7 linked regions of the Callithrix jacchus genome follow. The protein of the gene in region 1 purifies or fractionates together with the protein of each later gene. This does not show direct contact. Links are inferred from orthologs where the notes say so. Each region holds a gene or a part of one and is shown in the gene's direction. Other genes may lie near its edges. The genes, in order: NOP56, DHX9, EBNA1BP2, SNU13, NOLC1, large ribosomal subunit protein eL8 and BRIX1.

Region 1 (3,570 bases):
GACAATGCCACATACTGCCGTCTTGCCCAGGTTATTGGAAACCGAAGGGAACTGAATGAGGAGAAGCTGGAGAAGCTGGAGGAGCTAACAATGGATGGGGCCAAGGCTAAGGCTATTCTGGATGCCTCACGGTCCTCCATGGGTCAGTGCAGAGCCTGGCAGCCTGCATAAGGTATGGGGCTCTGAATATCTGGCCCTCTGCATTCACACTTGGTTTTTCCTAGGCATGGACATATCTGCCATTGACTTGATAAACATCGAGAGCTTCTCCAGTCGTGTGGTGTCTTTATCTGAGTACCGCCAGAGCCTACACACTTACCTGCGCTCCAAGATGAGCCAAGTAGCCCCCAGCCTGTCAGCCCTAATTGGGGAAGCGGTGCGTCACAGGGGACACAAAAAAATGGGAGAATAAGGACTGTTCCCATGTGCACCCGCACTGCTGTATGTCCTGACCCACCATATATCTTCCCTACTTGTGCTTGATGGGGAGGGGAGGGGGTGAGTAGGGCTCTTGCAATTGGCAGGTCAGCAGTTCGTTTCTCTGACTGCTTCCTTGACTCTCTCCAGGTAGGTGCACGTCTCATCGCACATGCTGGCAGCCTCACCAACCTGGCCAAGTATCCGGCATCCACAGTGCAGATCCTTGGGGCTGAAAAGGCCCTGTTCAGGTACCAGTGAGGGCACCTGCCCACATTCAGGTGCCACTTCTGGTGCCCGCCTCTTGTTGGGGGATCACGGTGATGGCTGACCAGGGCTCCCTGACCTATACAAGCCTCTGCTATGGGGGTGATGGCCAATCCTGGTATCTGAGTGATTCCCAGGGCCCAGCAAAGGGACCAAGTCTCCAGGTCAGCGACACTGGATGCCTTCCCTCTGCCTCTGGGTGCTATGGGTTTGCATGCATTGGGATAGAGATCCAATCTGGCCTGAGGCTCATTCAGGACTTGGGGGTGAGAGGAGGGGAGGAGCTGAGCTGCCTTGGCTAAGGGGGTTGAAATTTCTGATCTTAAACTCTCCACTGAATGTTCTCTCAGAGCCCTGAAGACAAGGGGTAACACACCAAAATATGGACTCATTTTCCACTCCACCTTCATTGGCCGAGCAGCTGCCAAGAACAAGGGCCGCATCTCCCGATACCTGGCAAACAAATGCAGTATTGCCTCACGAATCGATTGCTTCTCTGGTATGGGTGGGGGGGGGTATGAGAAGGGGCTGGCTGGGTGGGTGGGGGCTTGCAACCATAGCAGCTTCCACAATGATGGCAATATTTTTCGTCAACAGCAGTTCACCTAGTGAGTGTTGAGAGTCTGGGTCTGAGTGAAGCTGAGGGTAGAGGGAACACGGGGTGGGGGTAGTTTTTCTCTGGGCTGACAGGCTTTGTTACCCACATGCACGTCCAGAGGTGCCCACGAGTGTATTTGGGGAGAAACTTCGAGAACAAGTTGAAGAGCGACTGTCCTTCTATGAAACTGGAGAGATTCCACGAAAGAATCTGGATGTCATGAAGGAAGCGGTGGTTGAGGTCAGTTGGGCTTTGCTGGGTGTGGGGAGGCATAGCTGGCTGGCTGTTGGAGTTGATGAACTGTCTGAGCCTGACCTTGCGGAGTGGAGGCAAAAAAAACTGATTTAATGAGCCTGATCCAATAAAGCCAGAAAGGAGTCCTCAGAGCACCAGAGGTCTTCAGGCCCTTTTAGCACTTCTCTTTGACCAGGCAGAGGAAGCGGCTGCTGAGATTACGAGGAAGCTGGAGAAACAGGAGAAGAAACGCTTAAAGAAGGAAAAGAAACGGCTGGCTGCACTTGCCCTCGCATCTTCAGAAAACAGCAGTAGTACTCCAGAGGAGTGTGAGGTCAGTAGGCAGCTTGGCCCTTGCAAAGATCCCAGGTTGTAGGGTTTTCAACAGCAGAACAAAGGATGTGCTGCATCAAGCCATGGTCTTGAGTCCAGGCTTTTCAACTGAAACAAGGACCTAAAACATCTAAAACTACCTCTTGATTCTATAGGAAGGAGATAGGTGCTGAGAGAACTTGCTCAAGAGCCCAGAGAGCTGGTTGTAGCTCACACCTGTTCCCTGGGCATGTGTGTTCTGTCCTCGGCTGCCTCCCAGGAGTCCTCAACCTGGGGTAGTGTAAATTCCTGCTCTGCTTATTCTCAGACGTGTGTCCGGAGGTGGTAGTGTTCACAGTGGGGATGGGGGCAGGGCGGTCCCCAGTGTGCTGGGCTACAATCGTTCTCCCTGGGATTTTCATTTAGCACCCAGTTTCTTAAACAGTGTTTCAGGGCCCTGTCTGGAACTTGGCATGATGGTTCTGTTGTGGCCAGCATGGTGGGTTTTTCTTTAGGGTTTTTTTTTTTTAATGGGCTGAGGTAATTTACTACATATTGTCCTTAACTTCTAATTTGGGATAGCCTTTGGGATGGATTTCTAAAGTTATACCCACACAATTAAAACTATCCCAGAAACACTGGGCAACGTTAACAACTACACAGGTTTCCCTGCCTTGGCTACTTAATTGCTGAAAATGTAATGGGGGTATGTGTGCACATATCAATAGATGTCACTGTTCTCACAGCCTGTTCCCCTGTCCTTCCCTTTAGGAGGCAAGTGAAAAGCCCAAAAAGAAGAAGAAAAAACAAAAGCCCCAGGAGGTTCCTCAGGAGAATGGAATGGAAGACCCATCTACTTCTTTCTCCAGACCCAAGAAAAAGAAATCTTTTTCCAAGGAGGAGTTGATGAGTAGTGATCCTGAAGAAACCACTGGCAGCCCCAGTCTTCCCAAGAGGAAGAAATCATCACCCAAGGAGGAAACAGTTAATAACCCCGAAGAGGCAGGCAACAGAAGTGTCTCCAAGAAAAAGAGGAAATTCTCCAAAGAGGAGCCGGTCAGCAGTGGACCTGAAGAGGCTACTACCAGCAAGAGCAGCTCCAAGAAGAAGAAAAAGTTCCGGAAAGAAGCCCAGGAAGATTAGAATGCAAATGGACATTCTCTGGGAGGCGGGGCATACCATAGCCCAAGGTGACATTCCCCACCCTGTGTCCTGTTCCCCAATAAAAACAAACTCACAAAAGTCGGTGGTTCATGCTTTTTATTGAACACCTTAGATGGGTATGGACAGGGCCTATGAGTGGGGCAAGGCAGCAATGACAGCCTCAGTGAAGTCATGGCAAGTAGCATAGCCACCCATGTCAGAGGTTCGAACCTGTGGGGGAGAATCATCATCATCCATGTGGCCTGGGCTCCATCCCAACAAAATCCCCATCACAACCCAGCAGTCTGTTCCCTAAAGAAGCCAGCCCAAAGACAACCTAGGCCCTGCCCAGTAAGGTGACCATGGTACACTGCCTAGAGGCACAAAGTCTCTTCTGGTCCACTGCACTGAAGGGTATGGGGAGTGTGGTCCTTGAAATAAAGGGCTCTAGCTCCCATGGGGGTGCAGGTGACCGATGACAGACTTGATGAAGTCGGTTGTGGTGCTGTAGCCGCCCATGTCTCGAGTCCGCACCTACAGCCACCACCGGCAACAGCCGTGGGGAGGAAGAAAAGAGAGCCCATGAAGGGAGGTAGGGC
Region 2 (3,500 bases), on another chromosome or scaffold:
TGGTGACTTTAAGAACAGTAAGATACCTAAGTGTGCCCTAAAGCTCATCGTTGCAGACATTTTTTGTTATCAGTATCTTAAAGATTTCTGATACAAAGCAATGAAGAATTCAGGAAAAGACAATGAGAGGCACAGACAATTGGGGGAGCCAGGACAGCATTCCTGTATGGCCTTTTATTTAAAGGCATAACAGACAGCAACACCAGAGGTCTGTGTTCATAATACACATGTGCTGCTGCTTAGGCTGAACTAAGCAATCACATGGGAAACTATTGTAAACTGATTTCTGGTGTCGCTGTTCCCCCTAGGTGGAGGAGAATGAGATTGAGTGCTGACTTTAAGCCTGGCTGAGAAACATACTGGCATCGATGTCATTAATGAAAGGGTGGATGTTGTTCCCCTGAAAGCCAGTGGCCTTTGACCCCTGAAGCCGCTGTGCCTGAAGGTCAGTTCACAAGAGGTATAGGAAGGAGTCTAACATTTATTTTTTCTTAAGCCTCACCCAGCCTTTTATTCACAGCACAAAGTCTAGGTTTAGAATGTATCTGAGCAGTGAAAGGACCAGAATGCATAGAATTTCAAAGGGCAGTTTTTCCCTTGTGAAAATCTAAATTCATTTTCTAGACTCCACAAGCAGTTTGAGATATAATGTGACAGCATGTGTTTTGTTCTCCAGGACCTGATTTAAATAAATGTCATATAAATAGGCTAAATTTTTGTCATCCAGGGCCGCTTCCAACTGCAGGCAGATGTGAGAGCTCTGCCTTAGGAGCCATTGATGTGCACAAAATGAATGTGCATGTGTGAGTTTGCGTATATTAGCTTAATCCTAACAGATTGCAGTTCATAATGGGTGGCCTATGCAGAAGAATCTTAAAATAATTCTAACAGTAGTGTAAAGCATTTTGGGCCTACTTTATTTCTTGGCTCCAAGCTAAGTGGAAAATTCCTTTTCATTGAATGTGTTCTTGCTGTTCAGACTCCAGCCTTTGGAATAAGAGTAAGTAAATATAAAATCTAAAACCCTAACGTTTTCCTTTCATGAACAATTGGCTCATCGACTTTGATTATAGTTGTCTTATGCCGTGTTGTATATTTGAAGTTTATATACTTCATTTGTTCTAGGGTTGGGCAGAAATAAATGTTGGTAATTTTTTTTCTCTGTGATTTGCCTAAGCAGTTGGAAAGCCTGCCTGACTTGGGAGACCTGGATTTGCCAATTTCTAACAGTGAAATTTCTAACCTTGCTTGTATGTGTTGTTACAGGAGCTTTATTGCAGAAATGACCATTTATATCAAGCAGCTGGGCAGAAGTAAGTCACTGTTTCCCCGATATTCCAAGACTTTGTATAGAGAAGCTGTATTATTGAAAGAGCACATAATGTAAGATAGCATCTAGGGTATATTTTAGAATATTAGTAATTATAGACGTTAGAGAAAGTCTTCTAGTTTACGTATGAAGCAGACCATGTTAGTGTAATGTTTGAAAGGTAAGATAAAGCAGGATGATTAGGAGTCTGCCATTGTCAAAGAATTTTAAAACTTTTTTATATGTAAAATAAGTTATTTTGAGTGGATGGGAAATATTAAGGGATAAAGGCAGGCTAACTTCTGTCATATATTAATAGAATAAAAAGGAACTAGAAGCTGTGGCATACACTATATTTTAAGACTTTTGTACCTAAGCCCATGGTTCCTGGTGATAAGACTTACTTGATTAGGGGTTCCTGGTTTCTCACTTACTTGATTGGGGTTAATTTGGCTAGTTAGGCAGAAAGATACCTTTGTACCCCTTTGCATTATATTCATTTCTCCTAAAACTGAATGATACTGGGGAAGAAGAAACTTTCTATTAGTATTTTCTTCAAGGATACGAGTAGCTGTTAGCTTCTGTTTAATGCTGAGGTCAGCAAACTATAGCCGTCTGGCCAAATCCAATGTACTGCCTGTTTTTATAAGTGTTCTATTTGAACATAGCTACACTCATAACTAAACTTATTCCTTTGTCAGAGGACAGCAAACTCTTTCTATAAAGCACTAGGTGATAATATTCTAGACTTCACAGGTCATACATTTTAATTTTTATTTTATTTTTACAACTCTTGAAAAACATAAAACCATTCCCAGGCCTATGGTTTGTCAAACTATTGTCTGTGGCCGCTTTCATGCATTAGAGGCAGAGTTGAGTAGTTGTGACAGAGACTATGGCCTGCAAATCCTAAGATATTTATTAACCCTTTATGGAAAAAGTTTTCCAAATCCTGGTCTAGGTAACCACTCTGGACCTGATTACATTTATTGGTTTATTTTTTTACTCTTTGACTTCTTAAAAGTCAGACTATGTTTTCTTACCATATTTTAATGCCTGATGATAATAACACTGACAACCTTTAAAATAGGTTTTTGCTTTCATAATACTGAATTGTATGAGTCCTAGTATCAGCCTGTAGTCAAAACAGTGGGTTATTTAGTTGATAAACTGTTTGGCAATTTCTTTTGTTTATCATATATTAATAGAATAAAAAGGAACTAAAAGCCGTGGCATACACTATATTTTAAGACTTTTGTACCTAAGCCCATGGTTCCTGGTGATAAGATGTTTTTTTACTTAAGTGATTGATCCTTCTGTCTGATAAACCCGATCTTACATTATAGGAATTTTTGCACGAGAACATGGATCAAATAAGAAATTGGCAGCACAGTCCTGTGCCCTGTCACTTGTCAGACAACTCTACCATCTTGGAGTGGTTGAAGCTTACTCTGGACTTACAAAGAAGAAGGAAGGAGAGACAGTGAGTTTTTAGATTTATAATAGACTCGTGAGATATTTTAAGATTCAATTTAGCTCTTGTTTAGTATTTGGCTAAAGAAGTCTTAATTTCAAGGAATCTTACCTCAAGAAATGAAATGGCCTTGCTAATCATCTGTGTCTGGCATGATATCCGTAATAGGAAATGAGTAAATCATAATCATTGAAGTAATTCTCTCACTAAAGGGAACTGACTGTTGGCTTAGGAATACTGTAGAATTAGTTTTGACTGTATAGTCTTAGCGCTACTAAAGTAGATTTGAGTAGTATTTATATGTGTGATCCTTTTTTGTAGGTGGAGCCTTACAAAGTAAACATCTCTCAAGATTTAGAGCATCAGCTGCAAAACATTATTCAAGAGCTAAATCTTGAGATTCTGCCCCCGGTAAGCATACAGCTATTTAGTTTACATGTATTTAGAACTCTCAGTAGACAGGCAAATCATTTTGTTGTTGTTTTTCTTATTTTTTAATAGCCTGAAGATCCTTCTGTGCCAGTGGCACTCAACATTGGCAAATTGGCTCAGTTTGAACCATCTCAACGACAAAACCAAGTGGGTGTGGTTCCTTGGTCACCTCCACAATCCAACTGGAATCCTTGGACCAGTAGCAACATTGATGAGGGGCCTCTGGCTTTTGTGAGTGCAGTATTATTTTTGAGATCAGACTCTCGTGTTTCACTCTTGAGTATG
Region 3 (3,500 bases), on another chromosome or scaffold:
GTAAGAATAGGCCGGGATCCTGTCTCTACAAAGGGCCTGCCACGGATTTATTATTTCTTTGATCTGGAGGCAGATGGCTGAGATTATCTTAAAGACACCAATAATTAATTTAACCTAACCAAAGTTATTAAAAGCAAAGACAAACTCACTTGGGCCTATTAGTTCACTGTTTCTACTTTGAGGAAACATTGAGGAAGAGATTGTCAGCTGGGGTGAATTTGCTCCCCAGGAGTTTTCTGTCACTGCCTGAAGGTATGTTTAGTTGTCAAATGTGGGAGGGAGGGTGCTACTGGCATCTACAGGTAGAGGGCAAGGGTGCTGCTGAATGTCCCACAGTGCAGGACAGGCCCCTCCCCCCAGCAGTCTGTCCACAGTGTAGCAGTATCAAGATTGAGAAACTCTGTTAGAGTATTATAAAGTTTCTCCTTTTATTCTTAAAACCTTTTTCTTTTCTTTACCTGGGGACATTGTTTTTTTCTCTTCCTTTTGGTACTTTCATGCCTAGTAACAGTAAGTTAGATAGTTAATCTGTCCAAATATGATGGGAAAAATTGGATGTCGGCTTAAACATGATTTGCTGCAGTTTAGTAGGGAGGATTCTATAATAGAGTGAATGCTGGCTTTGGAGGCAAACAGCTTGGGTCATCTCAGCTGTGCACTTTTTCACTGTGCAACTTGGGCAGGTTAAATTCTGCGTGTTTCAGTTTAGGGGATAACACAAATTTCAACTTCACTGGATTGTTATGAAATAGATATATCTTCGTCTATGAAGAATATACCTAGATCTGAGAATATACTTAGAGCCCTTAACATAGTTTTTGGCACATAGTAAATGTCAAAGGGTAGCAGTATTAATCATGGTGTTGCTATTAAGAGAATGTGGACACTGGAGTAATGGTGTGGAATGGCTGTAACTGTCCTGGTGTTCATATCACAGGTGCAAACAGAGGTTCTTCAGAAGAGGCAGCAGGAGAAAGCACATATGATGAACGCTATTAAGAAATATCAGAAAGGTTGGTACCTCTCTCTGCTGGGGGAACAAGGGTAGCAGGTACTTTAGAGTTGATCTGAGCACTTAGTGCTTTGGAGCCTTCTTGGTTGATGTGGACCTATCGGATCTAAGTTTTGGAAATGGTGTTGGGGAGCAGGATGTCACTTTTAAAATCAGTGTGGCAAATAACAGCTTTATATGGTGGTTTCAACTTTTAAAATACAATGGTGCTGATCAGAACTGCTTCTTCACTTACAGGCTTCTCTGATAAACTGGATTTCCTTGAGGGAGATCAGAAACCCCCAACACAGGGCAAGAAGGCAGGAGCCAAAGGCCAGCAGATGAAGAAGGGGTGAGAAGTATTTTGGTATGGTTTCTTTGGTTCTGGGAGGTGCTGTGGGGCCATAGGTCACGAAGATGACAGGCGTAGCACCCCTACTGGCTCAGCTGTGAGTCCAGAGAATGCAGCTGCTGCCTGTGGCCAAGACTCCTAGCACTGTGTGATGGGTAATTTTAGCCATGTCAGTCTTTGAGGCATAAAAGAAGGCCCTTTTTAAACTTGTTTTTTTTTAAGACAGAGTTTAACTCTGTCACCTGGGCTGCAGTGCAGTGGTACAGTCTTGGCTCACTGCAACCTCTGCCACCTGGGTTTAAGTGATTCTTGTGCCTCAGCCTCCTGAGTATCAGGGACTACAGGCGCCCACCACCACACCCAGCTAATTTTTGTATTTTTAGTAGAGACAGGATTTCACCACGTTGGCCAGGCTGGTCTTGAACTCCTGGGCTCAAGTGATTTGCCTACCTCAGCCTCCCAAAGTGCTGAGATTATAGGCGTGACCACTGCACCCAGCCTAAGAAGGTACATTTAAGTATGTGGTACTCTTTAAGTAGATGCTGAGTAAAAGTTGAGTCCCCATCACACGGTGTGATGGTTGAGAGTTCAGGCCTAGGACTCAGACCCTGGCTCTGCCACTTAGTAGTAGGGCAGTTTTGAACAAGTTACCATACCTTTCTAAGTGCTAATTGCCTCATCTGCTAAGTTGAGGAAAGAGTATCTGCCTCATAGTATGAAGATTGAAAGAAGAATGCAGGCTCTTCAGTGTTTTGCATACCTGGATACCAGGCCTAGGGGAAATGATCATTTCCGTGTAAGGTAGTAAGTGCTATCTATGATAGAGGCATTTGGGGAGTAGTATTGAGGCAGCTTTTAGAAATACCTGATATGGGCTGGGCATGGTGGCTCATGCCTATAATCCCAGCACTTTGGGAGTCTGAGGTGGGCAGATCACCTGAGGTCAAGAGTTGGAGACCAGCTTGGCCAATATAGCGAAACTCTGTCTCTACTAAAAATACAAAAAATTAGCCAGGTGTGTGGTGGGCACTTGTAATCTCAGCTACTAAGGAGGCCAAGGCAGGAGAATCGCTTGAACCCAGGAGGAGAAGGTTGCAGTGAGCCAAGATCATGCCATTGCACTCTAGCCTGGGCAACAAGAGGGAAACTCTGCCTCAAAAAAAAAAAAAAAAAAATACCTGACAGGGTCTGGAGATGGATTTCTGGATTTCTGGAGGAGGGTTTGACTTGAGCATTGCCTGAAGCGTGAGTAAGAATTAACCACAAGAATAGGAGAGAAGCTGGGTTTGGGAAGAAGGAAGAGCTTGAAAGAGCAAAGCCATAGAGATGTGAAACCTCAGGGTTTTGTGAGGAACAGTAAGCCCTTGGTGTCACTGGGACTACAGTGCAAGGCAAGGAGGGGTGCGATGTGGCTTGGGAGACCTGCGCTGTTGGTTTGCCTTGTTGAGGAGCTTGGGGTTTGTCCAGAAGGCAGTGGGGAGACTAGGTTATAGGTTGTACTGACAATAATGAGCAAGTCATAGTCATGCTTTTAAAAAGATTACAGTGGATTTTGTATAAGTGAGGGACTTGAGGGAAGCTGGGAAATTGACAAGGAGACTAGTCCAGATGTGCAATGATAATAACCTGAAAGTGGCAACTGAGGGAGAAGAGAAGATGGACTGCAGGAACATTTAAGAGGTGAAATGAGCAGGACTCAGCAATTGAATTGGGTATAAAGTGAGAGAAGAACCAAGGCAGACTCCCACATGTTAGCCTGTGTGTCTGGGTTGGCAGGACCTGTGCCAGTCTCAAGTGAGCTCATATATACAGGAAGTAGAGCCAGTGCAGGAGGTGATGTGAATTTGGGGATGCTGAATTTGAGATCCCTATTGGATGACCTGTATTACATTTAATGTTAACTGCATATATTTACCCTTAAGAGGAATAGACACAACTGAGGATGATTTAACAAGATTTAGTTAAAATAGAAAGCTTTCCAAAGACACTAGGAAGCCACATGATGCATGTGGAGCCTTCCCTGCTTCTTGCTTTATTTTCCTGCCCTGGTGGTTAGAACTGTAAATAGTTGAGCTAGACGAGTGTATCTCGAGGGGCTGTAGCATAGGATTGTGGGGCCAAGGATGAGATTCTGGGTCACAGTAGTGCCTAAGGGGC
Region 4 (4,016 bases), on another chromosome or scaffold:
AGCGAGACCCTGTCTCAAAAAAAAAAAAAAGAAAGTTGAAGTAACACATGAAGGTGACATACTCTATAGACATTACGAATAAAGGATAGGCCGGACACGGTGGTTTATGCCCGTAATCCCTGCACTTTTGGGAGCCTGAGGTGGGCGGATTACCTGAGGTCTGGGGTTCAAAACCAGCTTAACCAACGTGGTGAAACACTGTCTCTACTAAAAATACAAAAATTAACTGGGCGTGGTCGCGGGCACCTATAATCCCAGGTACCCAGGAGGCAGTGAGGCGAGAGAATCACTTGAACCCGGGAGGTGGAGGTTGCAGTGAGCCGAGGTCATGCCGCTGCACACCAACATGGGCAATAGAGGGAGGCTCCGTCAATCAATCAGTGAATGTTTGGGGAAGAGAAAAATATTACAGAGGTATTCCCTCGACTTCCCCCAACCTGCGCTTTAGAGAACAACTCCATCCTTCACCTAATTCCTCCCAGTCATCTCGGGACCAAGACAGGTTTGCCTAAGATAACGAGTTAGGTGGGAGACAGGGCGTCTTGGTGTACTGTCTGGCCCTGGACGTCACTTCCGCTGGTGGCACTGGCGTCACTTCCTGCTCCTGGGGCGGGGCATCCGTGTCCTTGCGGTGGAGGGTAGCAGACCACCCCAGACTAACACGCGTGGTGTCCTTGCGGTGTCCGGGGAGAGACTACCAAGACAGACGCTATGGTGAGTGTTCCTACTGGGCCACTACCCACGGGTCACGTTCTCAGAACCGCGGTACCGTGAGCCAGCTATATCAAAAAAAGCTGTAAAAAAAATTGAAGGAGGAAAAGGCAGGCGCGCGGTGTCCTGCAGGAGACCACCGAGGCAGGCGCAATAGATAAGTGTTCCCACCCGACCGTCTCCAGTGACTGCCGTCCACCTTGTGTCCAGCCTCCAAGGCCGAGGTTAGATTGCGGCCGCAGCGAATCACTCGCGATTCGCACATTAATACTCAATGGCGACATTGAGGGCTGCCCCCAGGTTTTAATATGAGTATACCCTTGTATAAATATGTGCTGTGCTTGTAAAAAAAAAAAAAAAAAAAAGACAGAAAAAGTTAATGAAAATGGTTAACTGGAGGGGTGGGAATGAGATGGAAGGAGCGGAACTGGCAGGCCGCTCACCCAGTTCGCTCCCTACGTGCGTCATTTTTTATTTATTTATTTATTTTTTGAGATGGAGCCTCGCTCTGGCGCCTGTAGTGCAGTGGCGCAGTCTCGGATCACTGCATCCTCCACCTCCTGGGTTCAAGCTATTCTGCTTCAGCCTCCCAAGTAGCTGGGACTACAGGCGTGAGACACTACTCCCGACCCCTACATGGGTTATTTTGACTCACATCTCAGTGACGCCATTTTATCCATAAGTATTACAGTATGTATCTGTAAAGTAAGGATTTTTAACTTAACTGCAAGTGCCATTAATTAGTTAATAAGGGTTGCAAGTTGGTGATATTTAAGTGTACCATTTCCTCTTTATTTATTAGGTGGAATAGTGATGCAAGAGGTATTTTTCATCTTCTATTTGGTTACCTCCTAATACGGTGTTTAGGAAAGGCACAGAAGATGATTGTTTCCCTTTCCTGGTTTTCACAACACTGAGTTGCTATCAGTAGCATAGTTTTGACATTTAAACCATGAAGATATTTTACATATTTGAAAAATAAAATTTAAAGCAAGCTGACTACAAACAAGTCTTAATTGTATATCAAATTGCTAACCCCAAGGAAAATTTTAATTTGAATAATTTTTTAGCATAGTACTATCACTGGATGGCTTTGGTAGGATATATCCTAAGAACAAAAATAAATTTTGACCTTGGTGAGTTTGTTGGTAGAGGTGGTGTATTGGTGTAGCAATTTTGGAACCATTTTTTGTGTGTTGCAGAGTAGGTGAGGAAATACTTTGGTCTGTTGGAAATCAGGGGTTTGAACAGAATATTTGTATGTGGAATGGGGAATTAAAAGAATTTTGTGCTACATTTACTGTAAATTATATCTTAGTTTTGATTCCGTAAATTGAGGTGGAATACAGAAGTTCAAATTTAAAGATTACCAATGGTCTCCTGACCTCACATGATCCACCTGCACTCAGCCTCCCAAAGTGCTGTGATTACAGATGTGAGCTAGGAGTTCAAGACCAAACTTTCCAACATGGTGAAACCCCATCTCTACAAAAAAAAAAAAAAAATACAAAAATTAGGCAGGTGTGGTGGCACACACCTGTAGTCCTATCTATTTGGGATGCTGAGGCATAAGAATCATTTGAACGTGGCAGGCAGAGGTTGCAGTGAGCTGAGATCAGCCGCTACACTCCAGCCCAGGCAACAGAGTGAGACCCCATCTAAAAAAAAAAAAACAAAGTACAGATTACCCATGGACTCAAATGGATGCTGAGCCATGGGAGCCCATTTGTAATCCATTTGCTGTAATATTATCGAACATTCATCTGACGAGACAAAAGTACATAAGCTTTAGTATACTTCATTGAACTGTATAGTTTCTAATAATATATTTCATTTTTTCCGAAGGTAGGACTGGAAAGCTCATTGTTAACTACATGGTGTTCTGTGTGTTGGAGGATCAGGAAGCAGAGCAGCTGCTCCCTGTTTCTCAATTGTTGATTAGTATTTTGTGATCAATTGTTGATTAGTATTAGTAGGAAAACTTCCAGTTCAATTTGACTGATATTTTTATCTCCCCCTCCTTAGACTGAGGCTGATGTGAATCCGAAGGCCTATCCCCTTGCTGATGCCCACCTCACCAAGAAACTACTGGACCTTGTTCAGCAGTCATGTAACTATAAGCAGCTTCGGAAAGGAGCCAATGAAGGTAAGGCAGCCACAGGGTGCTCTGGGGAAATGTTAAAGGCACATGTTTCCATCTGGGACCTCTGGTCTAGATTTCCAATTTGGGAGGAGGGCTAGATGCTCTTGACTGCAACCAGTGGAAGGACCTAAGAGCAGCATTTTGGCATTAGATGCTAAAGCTGATGGGCTAAGAATTTTTTTTAGACCCACAAATTGTTAACATTTTGCCACATTTACCTTCTTTTACACTTTATAAATGAATTTTATTTTTGCTGAGCCATTCGAAAGCAGTTGTAGAGACTTCGTATAGTAACTGTATGACCTCTCCAGAGCCATCAGAAGGAACGGTATATTATTGCTTTGTAGCATCTTTTATACTGTGGATACTTAGCATTCATGAATTTTATTTGGTTTCCAGAAACATTCCCTACCCCTCTCCCCCGACTTTTTTTTTTTTTGATGCTATTATTCAAAAACATGGAACTCTTCACGAATTTGCATGTCATCTTTGCGCAGGATCCATGCTAATCTTCTCTGTATTGTTCCAATTTTAGTATATGTGCTGCCAAAGGAAGCACCACCTCCCTTGGTTAAAAAAAAAAAAAAAAGAAAAAAAAATGTTGTTCTTTAGTAGAATAATTATGTATGCATGATACTTTATTTTTTATTTTGATTTATTTGTTTGTTTGAGACAGTTTTGCTCTTTTTGCCCAGGCTGGACCTTGGCTCACTGCAACCTCCACTTCTTGGGTTCAAGTGATTCTCCTGCCTCAGCCTCCCAAGTACCTGGGATTATAGGCATGTACCAGCATTTCCGGTTAATTTTGTATTTTTGGTACAGATGAGGTTTCACTATGTTGGTCAGTCTGGTCTCAAACTCCTGACCTCAGGTGAGCCACTGTGCCAGCCTTTTTTTTTTTTGAGGCAGAATCTTGCTCTGTTGCTGAGGCTGATCTCGAACTCCTGAGCTCAGGCAGTCCACCTGCCTCAGCCTCCCAGAGTGCTGGGATAACAGGCATGAGTCCCCATGCCCAGCCAAAATACTCTGATTTTACCAGATGCCAAGCAGTTTGGTGTGGTAGAGTTCTTGTGTCGTTGAAGATTTTAATGGAAACATCAGAAATTTTGTCAATCATATTTGAGATTTAGGAGAACCATTAGAATCACTTTCATCTGTGTTG
Region 5 (2,699 bases), on another chromosome or scaffold:
GAAATTGAGGTGGATTCACGAGTGGCAGACAACTCCTTTGATGCCAAGGTGAGAGAGAGATCTGTGCCATTCTTGGGAGGGAGGGTGGTAGTGTCAGAGAGCACAGCTCTTGATTCCGGTTGGTGGCAATCCTCTCTGGGTTCAGGTTACCTTGAGTAGGGAGTAGAAAGAAAAGAAGTGACAAGGCCCTGGCATGGTCCTTCTGTGTTAACCTCCTCTCTCTACTTAACTAGCGAGGTGCAGCTGGAGACTGGGGAGAGCGAGCCAATCAGGTTTTGAAGTTCACCAAAGGCAAGTCCTTCCGGCATGAGAAAACCAAGAAGAAGCGGGGCAGCTACCGGGGAGGCTCCATCTCTGTTCAGGTCAATTCCGTGAAGTTTGACAGTGAGTGACCTGGGGCCATCTTTGGCGAAGCAAAGGTGATGGTCAGAGACCACTCACTTTCTCTAGTGGACTTGGGAACCCTCAGCTCTCCAGGTGAGGGTCTTGATGAGGACAGAAGTTTAGGGTAGGTCCTAAGACTTTACAATGTAACATCCTTTCTGGTCCTTTTCTGTGTTACCTAGTTTTGTACAGACTTGGTTTTGAGTGTTAAGTAGCAGGGACAAAATAAGGGAATGTTATTTTTGCAGAAAATTCGTTTTCATTGTCTCCTTCCTTTTCTGTGAAAGTCCTCATTCTAGAAATTTGTATATTTTATATTAAATCATTTTCTATTGATTTTTGTTGTGATTTTCAAAGGTGGATTCCTACAGACAAAAACTTAGCTATGCCCAAGACATAGTAAAGGGTCACAGGTATGACTTTTTATAATTGGAAGAAAATTCTGCCTTTGTGAGTGCACATGTTCACATTTCATCCATCTTTCCCTCAAAACCCTAGCGAGGGGTATTAAAGAATGGCTGATGTATATGCAATGTCATATTAAGCATGCACTGTGTATTTCATTCTCATTTATTGAGTCTGGGACTGAGGTTTTTAGCCAGCATGGACCTAACCTACTTTTTGGGATAAAATTTACTGTTTTGTTACAGGCAAACTTCTGGTGTGGTATGAATGCCGTGGGTCATTCTGAATATTTTTTTTTCTGTAATTTTATCATTACATGATGTTTGTAATACATGCTTTGTTTTTTTAATTTGAACGCAAATTTTTCTACTGTTGATACACATTTTTTGACAACTTGACCCTTCCTAGTATTGAGTACTAAGTTGAGGACTGCATCATATTTCACAGTATAGAGAACAAAATGACATTAATTTGAAAAATACATATCACTTGGCATTGCTGTCTTGGTTGCAGTGGTGACATAGAATTGGTTTCATTAATTCCTACATGGTTGAGAATCAAGAAAGTGGGGAAAAGAAAAACTCAATCCTCAGGAGGAAGGTAGGTTATATTAGATGAATTTATTGGTATTCTCTGTATGTGCTAATCGGGTTGAAAGAACCTTACAGACGAGGCGGGCAGATCACGAGGTCAAGAGATGGAGAACATCCTGGTCAATATGGTGAAACCTCGTCTCTACTAAAAATACAAAAAAATTAGCTGGGCGTGGTGGCGCACGCCTGTAGTCCCAGCTACTCGGGAAGCTGAGGCAGGAGCATTGCTTGAAACCCGGGAGGTGGAGGTTGCAGTGAGTCGAGTTCGCGAACCTGACAGAGCATATTACCTGATAAACTTGAGTGGAGTGGGTTTGGGAGAACAAACTAACAGGATTATTGTGTCTCTTACTTAGTTGGTACATGGGTCTCGTAGTTGGTACGTGGGAGCAATTGATGTGCCCCCTTCAGAACCTTAACTGTTAGTAATAGTGGCAATAACAACACAAACCAGTGACCGGAAATACAGCTCTTAGGCCAAGTTGGCCTGTGGGTATGGCTGCAGGAAGCGACTGATCAGTGGTGGTACTCAGCCAGAACAAGACGGAGAGGGAAGAGTCCACAGCTTTGTGGAGGCTAAAGTGTTTGGGTGGTAGGAAAGTGTGCCCCAAGCCTTCATGGATGATTTGTAGGTCTTAAGGTTAGTCTCCTCTTGTTTGGATTCCACACTCGCTAAATAACCTGATAATAACCTGGTTTTCCATGTAACTGCCTCTAGAAGAAAATGTACTGTTCATGCTGACACCGATATTTCAGTCTGCATGGTAAAAGTTCTACATCTTACTATAAAATAATAAACTGGCTGGTTTATAATGTGTCTTGGGAGTTTATTATTGTGAGTCTGAACCCCTTCTTCTTCCTACTCAAAACAGAACAACTTTGGTGCCAGTTAGAGGACTGGGGTCTGGACCTGTGACTTCACTGCAGAGGCTTTTTGGCAGCAGCTTGCAGGGTTTTCTTGGCCACAGCTTGTCTCATGGTGCCTTTTCCAGGCTGTACTGCAGCCTGTGCATTGTCCAAATTGGGGGTTGGCAAAATGGCCTATGGGTCAAATCTAGCCCATGGCTTGTTTTTATATTACCTAAGAGCTAAGGAAGGTTATTACATTTGTAAAGGTTTTTTAAAAAGATAGATAATAGCCGGTGTGGTGGCTCATACCTGTAATCCCAGCACTTTGGGAGGCTGAGGTAGGTGGATCACCTGAGGTCAGGAGTTCCAGACCAGCCTGACCAACATGGAGAAACCCCATCTCTACTAAAAATACTAAATTAGCCTGGCATGGTGGTGCATGCCTGTAATCCCAGCTACTTGGGAGGC
Region 6 (2,703 bases), on another chromosome or scaffold:
AGCTAAGCTGGGTCTATAAGAAATTACACATGAGATGGCACACATATTTATACTGTCTGAAGGTCACAATCATTTTACCAAATCAAGCTGAAAAATGTCACTGCTATCTGGAGAAGTGTGAACAGAGTTTTCTCTCTGGATCTGTTAAGAAGGCATTAGTTGGTACAACCCACAGTGCTTCCATTATTCATGTTAAAAAAAAAAAAAAAGAAGAAGGCTTTGGTTGGCTGGGTTCAGTAATAAATATGTGAGACCTTTCCAAAAAAAAAAGATAAAAGATAAAGTAACTGGGCACGGTGGCACATGCCTGTAGTCGCAGTTACTCTGGAGGCTAACTAAGGTAGGAGGATCATTTGAGGCCAGGAGGTCAAGGCTGCAGTGAGCTATGATCACACCACTGCACTCTGGCCTGGGCAACATAGTGAGAGAGAGAAAAAGAAGGATCAATTTTTTTCTAGTGATTAGTATGTCTATTTTTATTCATCTCACCCAAACATTTCACAAATGAGGAGGCAGAGTCATCAAGCTTCCTAAAGGGGTTACTTTAGAGCTACAAAGGGGTCAAGAATGTGTGAAGATGGAGGATTGGCTGTACGATTTGGACTGAAGTAACCAGTCGGGTAATTGATTTCCAGATCAACACTCAGAAGAAAATAATCCAACTGCTCTCATTCTCCCCCTCCCCACATACCTCATAAACTACTAAGTACTATTCTTGTTCTTTAAGTGTTTTCTGAAACGTTAAGGGACAAAAGGCTATTTGAGCAGACTTCACATTCTTGAAAGGTCTCACATTTGCATTTGACCTTTTCTAAAACAAAGTAATACATACAGTCACAGACATTCACTGACAGGAATGAAATAAAAATTCCTTGTTTACCATACCTTTTTTTTTTTTTTAAGAGTTTTTTTCTTTTCTTTCCTTCTCTTTTCTTTTCTTTTTTTTGAGATGAAATCTCACTCGTTTGTCCAGGCTGGAGTGCAGTGGCCCAATCTCAGCTCACTGCAACCTCCACCTTCTGGGTTCAAGGGATTCTCTTGCCTCAGCCTCCCCAGTAGCTGGGATTACAGGTGTCCGCCACCTCACCTGGCTAATTTTTGTATTTTTAGTAGAGAGGGGGTTTCACCACATTGGCCAGGCTCATCTCAAACTCCTGATCGCCAGTGATCCACCTGCTTCAGCTTCCCAAAGTGCTGGGATTACAGGCATGAATCACCACGCCCAGTTTACTATACAGTTTTAACTTTGCATCCTATTATTGAACCAGGCTGTATTTCGAATAATCTCGGCTTTCTAAAAAATTATTTTTGGCTCTTTCTTTCTGCTGCTCAAGATGCCGAAAGGAAAGAAGGCCAAGGGGAAGAAGGTGGCTCCGGCCCCTGCTGTCGTGAAGAAGCAGGAGGCTAAGAAAGTGGTAAATCCCCTGTTTGAAAAACGGCCTAAAAATTTTGGTATTGGACAGGACATCCAGCCCAAAAGAGACCTCACCCGCTTTGTCAAATGGCCCCGCTATATCAGGTTGCAGCGGCAGAGAGCCATCCTCTACAAGCGGCTGAAAGTGCCTCCTGCAATTAACCAGTTCACCCAGGCCCTGGACCGCCAAACAGCTACTCAACTGCTTAAGCTGGCCCACAAGTATAGACCAGAGACAAAGCAAGAGAAGAAGCAGAGGCTGTTGGCCCGGGCCGAGAAGAAAGCGGCTGGCAAAGGGGACGTCCCCACTAAGAGACCACCTGTCCTTCGAGCAGGAGTCAACACAATCACCACCTTGGTGGAGAACAAGAAAGCTCAGCTGGTGGTGATTGCACACGACGTGGATCCCATTGAGCTGGTTGTCTTCTTGCCTGCCCTGTGTCGAAAAATGGGAGTCCCTTACTGCATTATCAAGGGGAAGGCAAGACTGGGACGTCTAGTCCACAGGAAGACCTGCACTACCGTCGCCTTCACACAGGTTAACGCGGAAGACAAAGGTGCCTTGGCTAAGCTGGTGGAAGCCATCCGCACCAATTACAATGACAGATACGATGAGATCCGCCGTCACTGGGGAGGCAATGTCCTGGGTCCCAAGTCTGTGGCTCGCATTGCAAAGCTAGAGAAGGCAAAAGCTAAAGAGCTTGCCACGAAACTGGGTTAAATTTACACTGTAAATAAAAATAAAACAATGAAAATTTTCCTTCAAAAAAAAAAAAAAATTATTTTTGTTTTTATTCTTTTCAGATTGAAATTTTCCAAACAGGATGAAAGGCACAGAAAAGGTGGCCACTGTGTACTCCTCCAAGATTATTCAGAAATTGACATTTTGCCATACTTGCTCCACATTTCTTTTTTCTTAGGTTTATAGAGGGATAATTTGTATGCAGTATACTTTTTTGTGTAATAATTTTAATGTAAGGTTTTTCTTACCATCAGGGTACAGGTTTTTTTGATGTGCAAGTCTATGAATATTTTTCCTTTTTTTTTAACTTTTGGGTTAAAAGAGTCTCACTCTGTTGCCCAGGCTGGAATAAAGTGGTGTGATCATAGCTCACTGCAGCCTTGAACTCCTGAGCTTAAGGGATCCTACCACTTAAGTCTCTAGAGTAGCTAGGACTACAGGTGTGTGCCTATAGTCCTAGCTCAATTTTATAAGATTTTTTTTTTTAACTTTCGCTCTTGTTGCCCAGACTGGAGTGCAATGGCATGATTGTGGCTCACTGCAACTT
Region 7 (4,127 bases), on another chromosome or scaffold:
AGAGGAGTGCCTAGCTAATAGTCTAGCTTTTTAGTCATTACTAACCATTATCTCTGTAAAACAAGATGGGAAAAAAAATTTGTTACCAGGAGAGAAAAAAAAACTCAAGTAAAGGCGTTTTGTTCTCTGACTTAAGACTATACAGCTATTTATTCATATACTATTTATTCAGGACTATTGACTATAAAGTCATTTATTGTCTACTAAAACCTTCAGATTTCATTAAACTGCATTTAGAATATCTATGGCACAGGCTTAAAGGCACATATTTCCATACCTGAATAAAAGCATTTGCCTGCACACACTTTGCATTTTCCACAGTTACTTTGATTCCATTTTTAGTTGCAAAACATGTGGCATGTTCTCGGAAATGAATAGCTTTCAAGATAGTGGAGAGATTCCTAACGTTGTCAAGGCTGGCCACGAGGCTGTACTGATCATCATCGTCTTGGATCTGTTGGGTCAGAAGGGGCATTGTCCGCTGCACATTCGGCCCCGAGGGATGCTTCTGGGGCCAACACCTGCTCCCGCGGATCGCGAAATACCTGAAGGGATTGGACAATAAAACTCCCATCAGTGCTGGCGAGGTCTGGCGAGCTCCACCTGCGCTGAGAAATGGAAGGGGATTGGGCAGCTGAACTTGGCTGACCAGGCCGAACCCCACCGATGCCACTTAACTGTCTTTGTAACTCTGGGAGAAAATTTTCTAAGCTACGGTTTCCTCATCTCCGTAAGGGGACAATAACGTGAAAAGTTGTGAAGAATGAAGACACGCAACTGACACGGTATCTCCGCTTGGGGCCAGCTTATCCCGGCCAAACAGGAGCTACGAATCCCTACGGAGTCGGTTTTGTGTCGCCCGCGCCGCAAGCCTCGCCTCCAACGCAACAGGCGATGGGGGGGGGGGGGGCGGGCTCGGAGTGCCCAGAAGATCCCCCAAGGGTCCCAGACAAGCCCATTCACCAGCTCGCCCGCTGGACAGCATCACTTACTACTCTCAGTCCTCGAGTGCTGACACCCTACCTTTGCAGTGGGGTCTGGACGCCCGAGAGCCCTTCCCGGCAAAGTCCCTGAGGAGTAGCAAGGCGGCTCCGAAAAACCGCGGAAGAAGGGAAGCGGGTCCCGACACTTTTCAGCTCGGCCCTCCACCTCGGCCACCGTCACCATGGAGCGGAACGAATCCTAGAGAGCCAAGCGTGCAGCGCCTCCAAGACCGGAAGCAGGCAGGCACCACCGAGCTGGAGGACGACCGCTGAACCGAGCGCTTAGAGCCGCCGAACCATAGAGATCGGAAAAGGGTGCGAGCGGCAACACCGGAAAGAAGGCCAAAGAGCGCAGGCGGCGAGACAAGATGGCGGCAACCAAGAGGAAACGGCGTGGAGGCTTGGCAGTTCAGGCGAAGAAACCGAAAAGAAACGAGAAAGATGCCGAACCGCCAGCTAAGCCTCGAGCTACTGCAGAGGAGGTGGAGGAAGAAGAGAGAAACCGGATCCCAGGCCCCGTTTGCAAGGTAGAAGGGTTACACCAACAGCCGCGGCTCTGTGCGCCTTTTCTTGGGGGTTCTGACTACAGCTCTACTAATTTTAGAATAGCTCGGGTGTTGACCGTAGGTCGGTTTTAGCAGTTCTCCCGGCCATACTGGACACGGAGTTTATAGCTAATTCTTGTGCACTTGGCCGCCCTCCTGGGGGCAGCGGGTTTTAGAACCTTTAGCCGGCCCACGGGGAAGCGACTGACAGGGTGCTCAGATCCAGCGTTGTCTTCCTAGTTGTTCAATTATTTTTGGAGGGTGGTGCTTTTCCTTGGTTATTTCTCGCTTTTGAGTATTTCTTCCAGTGATTAGTATTCCTATATACGGCCGAAGTCAGCTGCTGTCAGGCAGGGATCCTGAAGCTTGTTAGGTGAGCCTTTAAAAAGTTGTTGGCCTTGGGACTGTGAGTTGTTAACTAGGTCTTTAACTCAAGGGATAATGAAAGATAGTCCAGATACTTTGAGCTTTACCTGTATTGAACAGACATTGAATGTGCCACGCATTGTTCCAAGTTAAGCTTCCTTTGGCAAAGATTGCAAAGGTGACTAGAATGTGACCTCTTCCTCCTGAAATGTTGGAGTTCAGGAGGAAACTTAAGTCAGAGAAGTTGGTGGTTTTTATTCGAAAGAAGTGCACGCAAGTTGTTTCAGTTAACTTTCATTCAACTAAGAACTATTCTTAAGCTACACAGTATACTGTGGAGACAAGGATTATCTTTGACATTAATTTCTCTGTCCTCTGCACTTAGCATAGTACACTCTAGTACGGAGTAGGTGATAAGTAAATGACTCCATGTGGTGTGATGGTGAGTGAGCTCTGAGGAATGATAAGTGTGGGGGCCGGGCGCGGTGGCTCACGCCTGTAATCCCAGCACTTTGGGAGGCCGAGGCGGGTGGATCACGAGGTCAAGTGATCGAGACCATCCTGGTCAACATGGTGAAACCCCGTCTCTACTAAAAATACAAAAAAATTAGCTGGGCACGGTGGCGCGTGCCTGTAATCCCAGCTACTCAGGAGGCTGAGGCAGGAGAATTGCCTGAACCCAGGAGGCGGAGGTTGTGGTGAGGCGAGATGGCGCCATTGCACTCCAGCCTGGGTAACGAGCGAAACTCCATCTCAAAAAAAAAAAAGAAAGTAAGTGTAAATTCTAGGATCGTTATTAACAGCAACATTCTGTGCTCTTTTCTGACCTGCAGATTAGGTGGGAGTGGGAGTGGGAGGGTGGGGGGAGGGAATACTTACTTTTTATGAAAAATAAGCTGGACTTGTACACTTTCAATAAATGTTAGTGCTCTCTTCGCTCAAGGCGTTAGTTTCTATAATCTGAGCCATACTTTAATACATTCTGTGGAAATGCAGGAGATTGAGATTACTTTTACCCTAGTATAATAAGATAAAGAATCTGGAAGGATTTAGATTTAACCTTTAAGCTGCATATCAGAGGAACCGGAGAATTTTGGCATTCAAAAACGAGAGGGAACACTCCAAGGGAGAGAAAAAAGAACTGATGAAAGACTTTGAGGTAGGGAAATGCTGAAAAATGTAAAAAATAGAACCAGATTGGATTGCATTAGGCTTGATTTGGGGCAGTAATGATGTAAAAATGAAAATTTATTTTCCAATTCAGTGTCAAAGCTATGTCATTCAGATTTTGTTTAGAAAACTCTGGGAAGTAAGGATGTGATTGAAGTATTTAAAAAGTAAGCTGTTGAAAAAGCTACTCAACCATATCTGTTGGAGAAGCTCATGTCTGGGATGGTTAGTCATTGAGGAGTTTTGTGGTTCATATAAGGCACTAAATAAGTGCAGTGTGAATAAGAAAGGATTAAGAATTGTTGAAAAGAGAAATTGATAGCATTTTATAGTGCTTATGATGAGATGGGAGAAACAGGGCAAATCGAAGATTCAAACCTTGAGGGACTGAAGTGACAGCATCCAAAAAAAAAAAAAAAAAAAAAGGAAAAGAAAGAAAATGAAATAGCAAGGAAATGCACCAGATTTAAGAGGTCTAAGAAAATGTTTAGTATTGTAGAGTTGAGTTTGAGGTGTTAATGAAATACTTGGATTATTAGGGCTAGAGAGAGTTCCCTTCTGTAGAGTGGACAAAAATTAAAGTTGTGGGAAGTTATTATGAGACCTGGCATAGAGAGCACAGAAAAGAGAGGGCTAAGCAAGAACTTTAAGGGTTAGGAAGAGGAATTGGAGAAATCGAAGATGAAAAAGAAGAAAGAAACCAAGGAGGGCATTTCTGGGTGGCAGATGTGGTCAGTGAATGTTGCTGAGAGATGGATTAAAGGAGTCAGCATGGTTTGACTTGCTACCTGGAAGCTCTTGAAAAACAAACAGGGCCAGGTGTGGTGGCTCTCACCTATAATTCCAGCACTTTGGAGGCCAAGCTGCTTGAGCCCAGGAGTTGGGAACCAGACTGGGCAACACAGGGAGACCCCCGTCTTTACAAAAAAATTAAATTAGCTGGGCATGATGTGACATACCTGTAATCTGCAGCTACTGCGGATGCTGAGGTAGGAGGATAACTTGAGCCCAGGAACGTGAAACTGCAGTGAGCTGTTAGCCTGCATCTCTGCATTTCAGCCTG

Evidence for each region.
Region 2: the proteins of NOP56 (region 1) and DHX9 purify together in Homo sapiens (affinity purification with mass spectrometry; 3 studies listed by BioGRID and IntAct, with this or other methods). This does not show direct contact. The link is inferred for Callithrix jacchus from reciprocal best matches to the Homo sapiens genes NOP56 and DHX9.
Region 3: the proteins of NOP56 (region 1) and EBNA1BP2 purify together in Homo sapiens (affinity purification with mass spectrometry; 4 studies listed by BioGRID and IntAct, with this or other methods). This does not show direct contact. The link is inferred for Callithrix jacchus from reciprocal best matches to the Homo sapiens genes NOP56 and EBNA1BP2.
Region 4: the proteins of NOP56 (region 1) and SNU13 fractionate together in Homo sapiens (co-fractionation; 3 studies listed by BioGRID, with this or other methods). This does not show direct contact. The link is inferred for Callithrix jacchus from reciprocal best matches to the Homo sapiens genes NOP56 and SNU13.
Region 5: the proteins of NOP56 (region 1) and NOLC1 purify together in Homo sapiens (affinity purification with mass spectrometry; 6 studies listed by BioGRID and IntAct, with this or other methods). This does not show direct contact. The link is inferred for Callithrix jacchus from reciprocal best matches to the Homo sapiens genes NOP56 and NOLC1.
Region 6: the proteins of NOP56 (region 1) and large ribosomal subunit protein eL8 purify together in Homo sapiens (co-immunoprecipitation; 3 studies listed by BioGRID and IntAct, with this or other methods). This does not show direct contact. The link is inferred for Callithrix jacchus from reciprocal best matches to the Homo sapiens genes NOP56 and RPL7A.
Region 7: the proteins of NOP56 (region 1) and BRIX1 purify together in Homo sapiens (affinity purification with mass spectrometry; 3 studies listed by BioGRID and IntAct, with this or other methods). This does not show direct contact. The link is inferred for Callithrix jacchus from reciprocal best matches to the Homo sapiens genes NOP56 and BRIX1.

The regions. Positions count from the first base shown.
Region 1 is NC_133506.1:10,188,286-10,191,855, forward strand, and holds the end of NOP56 (nucleolar protein 56), read left to right. Parts: coding exon 1-142; intron 143-224; coding exon 225-376; intron 377-567; coding exon 568-668; intron 669-730; exon of another isoform or gene 731-816; intron 817-1,034; coding exon 1,035-1,183; intron 1,184-1,250; exon of another isoform or gene 1,251-1,321; intron 1,322-1,400; coding exon 1,401-1,522; intron 1,523-1,569; exon of another isoform or gene 1,570-1,642; intron 1,643-1,712; coding exon 1,713-1,850; intron 1,851-2,004; exon of another isoform or gene 2,005-2,124; intron 2,125-2,599; coding exon 2,600-2,971; 3' UTR 2,972-3,070; downstream 3,071-3,570. Other genes in the region: IDH3B (isocitrate dehydrogenase [NAD] subunit beta, mitochondrial), read right to left, coding at 3,419-3,505. UniProt on the Homo sapiens protein: Involved in the early to middle stages of 60S ribosomal subunit biogenesis. Required for the biogenesis of box C/D snoRNAs such U3, U8 and U14 snoRNAs. Part of the small subunit (SSU) processome, first precursor of the small eukaryotic ribosomal subunit.
Region 2 is NC_133519.1:41,043,979-41,047,478, forward strand, and holds part of DHX9 (ATP-dependent RNA helicase A), read left to right. Parts: intron 1-303; exon of another isoform or gene 304-445; intron 446-1,266; coding exon 1,267-1,313; intron 1,314-2,655; coding exon 2,656-2,792; intron 2,793-3,104; coding exon 3,105-3,194; intron 3,195-3,284; coding exon 3,285-3,446; intron 3,447-3,500. UniProt on the Homo sapiens protein: Multifunctional ATP-dependent nucleic acid helicase that unwinds DNA and RNA in a 3' to 5' direction and that plays important roles in many processes, such as DNA replication, transcriptional activation, post-transcriptional RNA regulation, mRNA translation and RNA-mediated gene silencing.
Region 3 is NC_133508.1:79,831,332-79,834,831, reverse strand, and holds part of EBNA1BP2 (putative rRNA-processing protein EBP2), read left to right. Parts: intron 1-937; coding exon 938-1,013; intron 1,014-1,249; coding exon 1,250-1,343; intron 1,344-3,500. UniProt on the Homo sapiens protein: Required for the processing of the 27S pre-rRNA.
Region 4 is NC_133502.1:190,079,412-190,083,427, forward strand, and holds the start of SNU13 (NHP2-like protein 1), read left to right. Parts: upstream 1-1,216; 5' UTR 1,217-1,347; coding exon 1,348-1,401; intron 1,402-2,736; coding exon 2,737-2,857; intron 2,858-3,306; exon of another isoform or gene 3,307-3,413; intron 3,414-4,016.
Region 5 is NC_133513.1:95,116,099-95,118,797, forward strand, and holds the end of NOLC1 (nucleolar and coiled-body phosphoprotein 1), read left to right. Parts: coding exon 1-48; intron 49-233; coding exon 234-392; 3' UTR 393-2,199; downstream 2,200-2,699. UniProt on the Homo sapiens protein: Nucleolar protein that acts as a regulator of RNA polymerase I by connecting RNA polymerase I with enzymes responsible for ribosomal processing and modification.
Region 6 is NC_133510.1:113,504,074-113,506,776, reverse strand, and holds large ribosomal subunit protein eL8, read left to right. Parts: upstream 1-1,311; 5' UTR 1,312-1,334; coding exon 1,335-2,135; 3' UTR 2,136-2,203; downstream 2,204-2,703.
Region 7 is NC_133503.1:170,709,830-170,713,956, reverse strand, and holds the start of BRIX1 (ribosome biogenesis protein BRX1 homolog), read left to right. Parts: upstream 1-1,327; 5' UTR 1,328-1,351; coding exon 1,352-1,510; intron 1,511-4,127. Other genes in the region: cell cycle checkpoint protein RAD1, read right to left, coding at 278-475. UniProt on the Homo sapiens protein: Required for biogenesis of the 60S ribosomal subunit.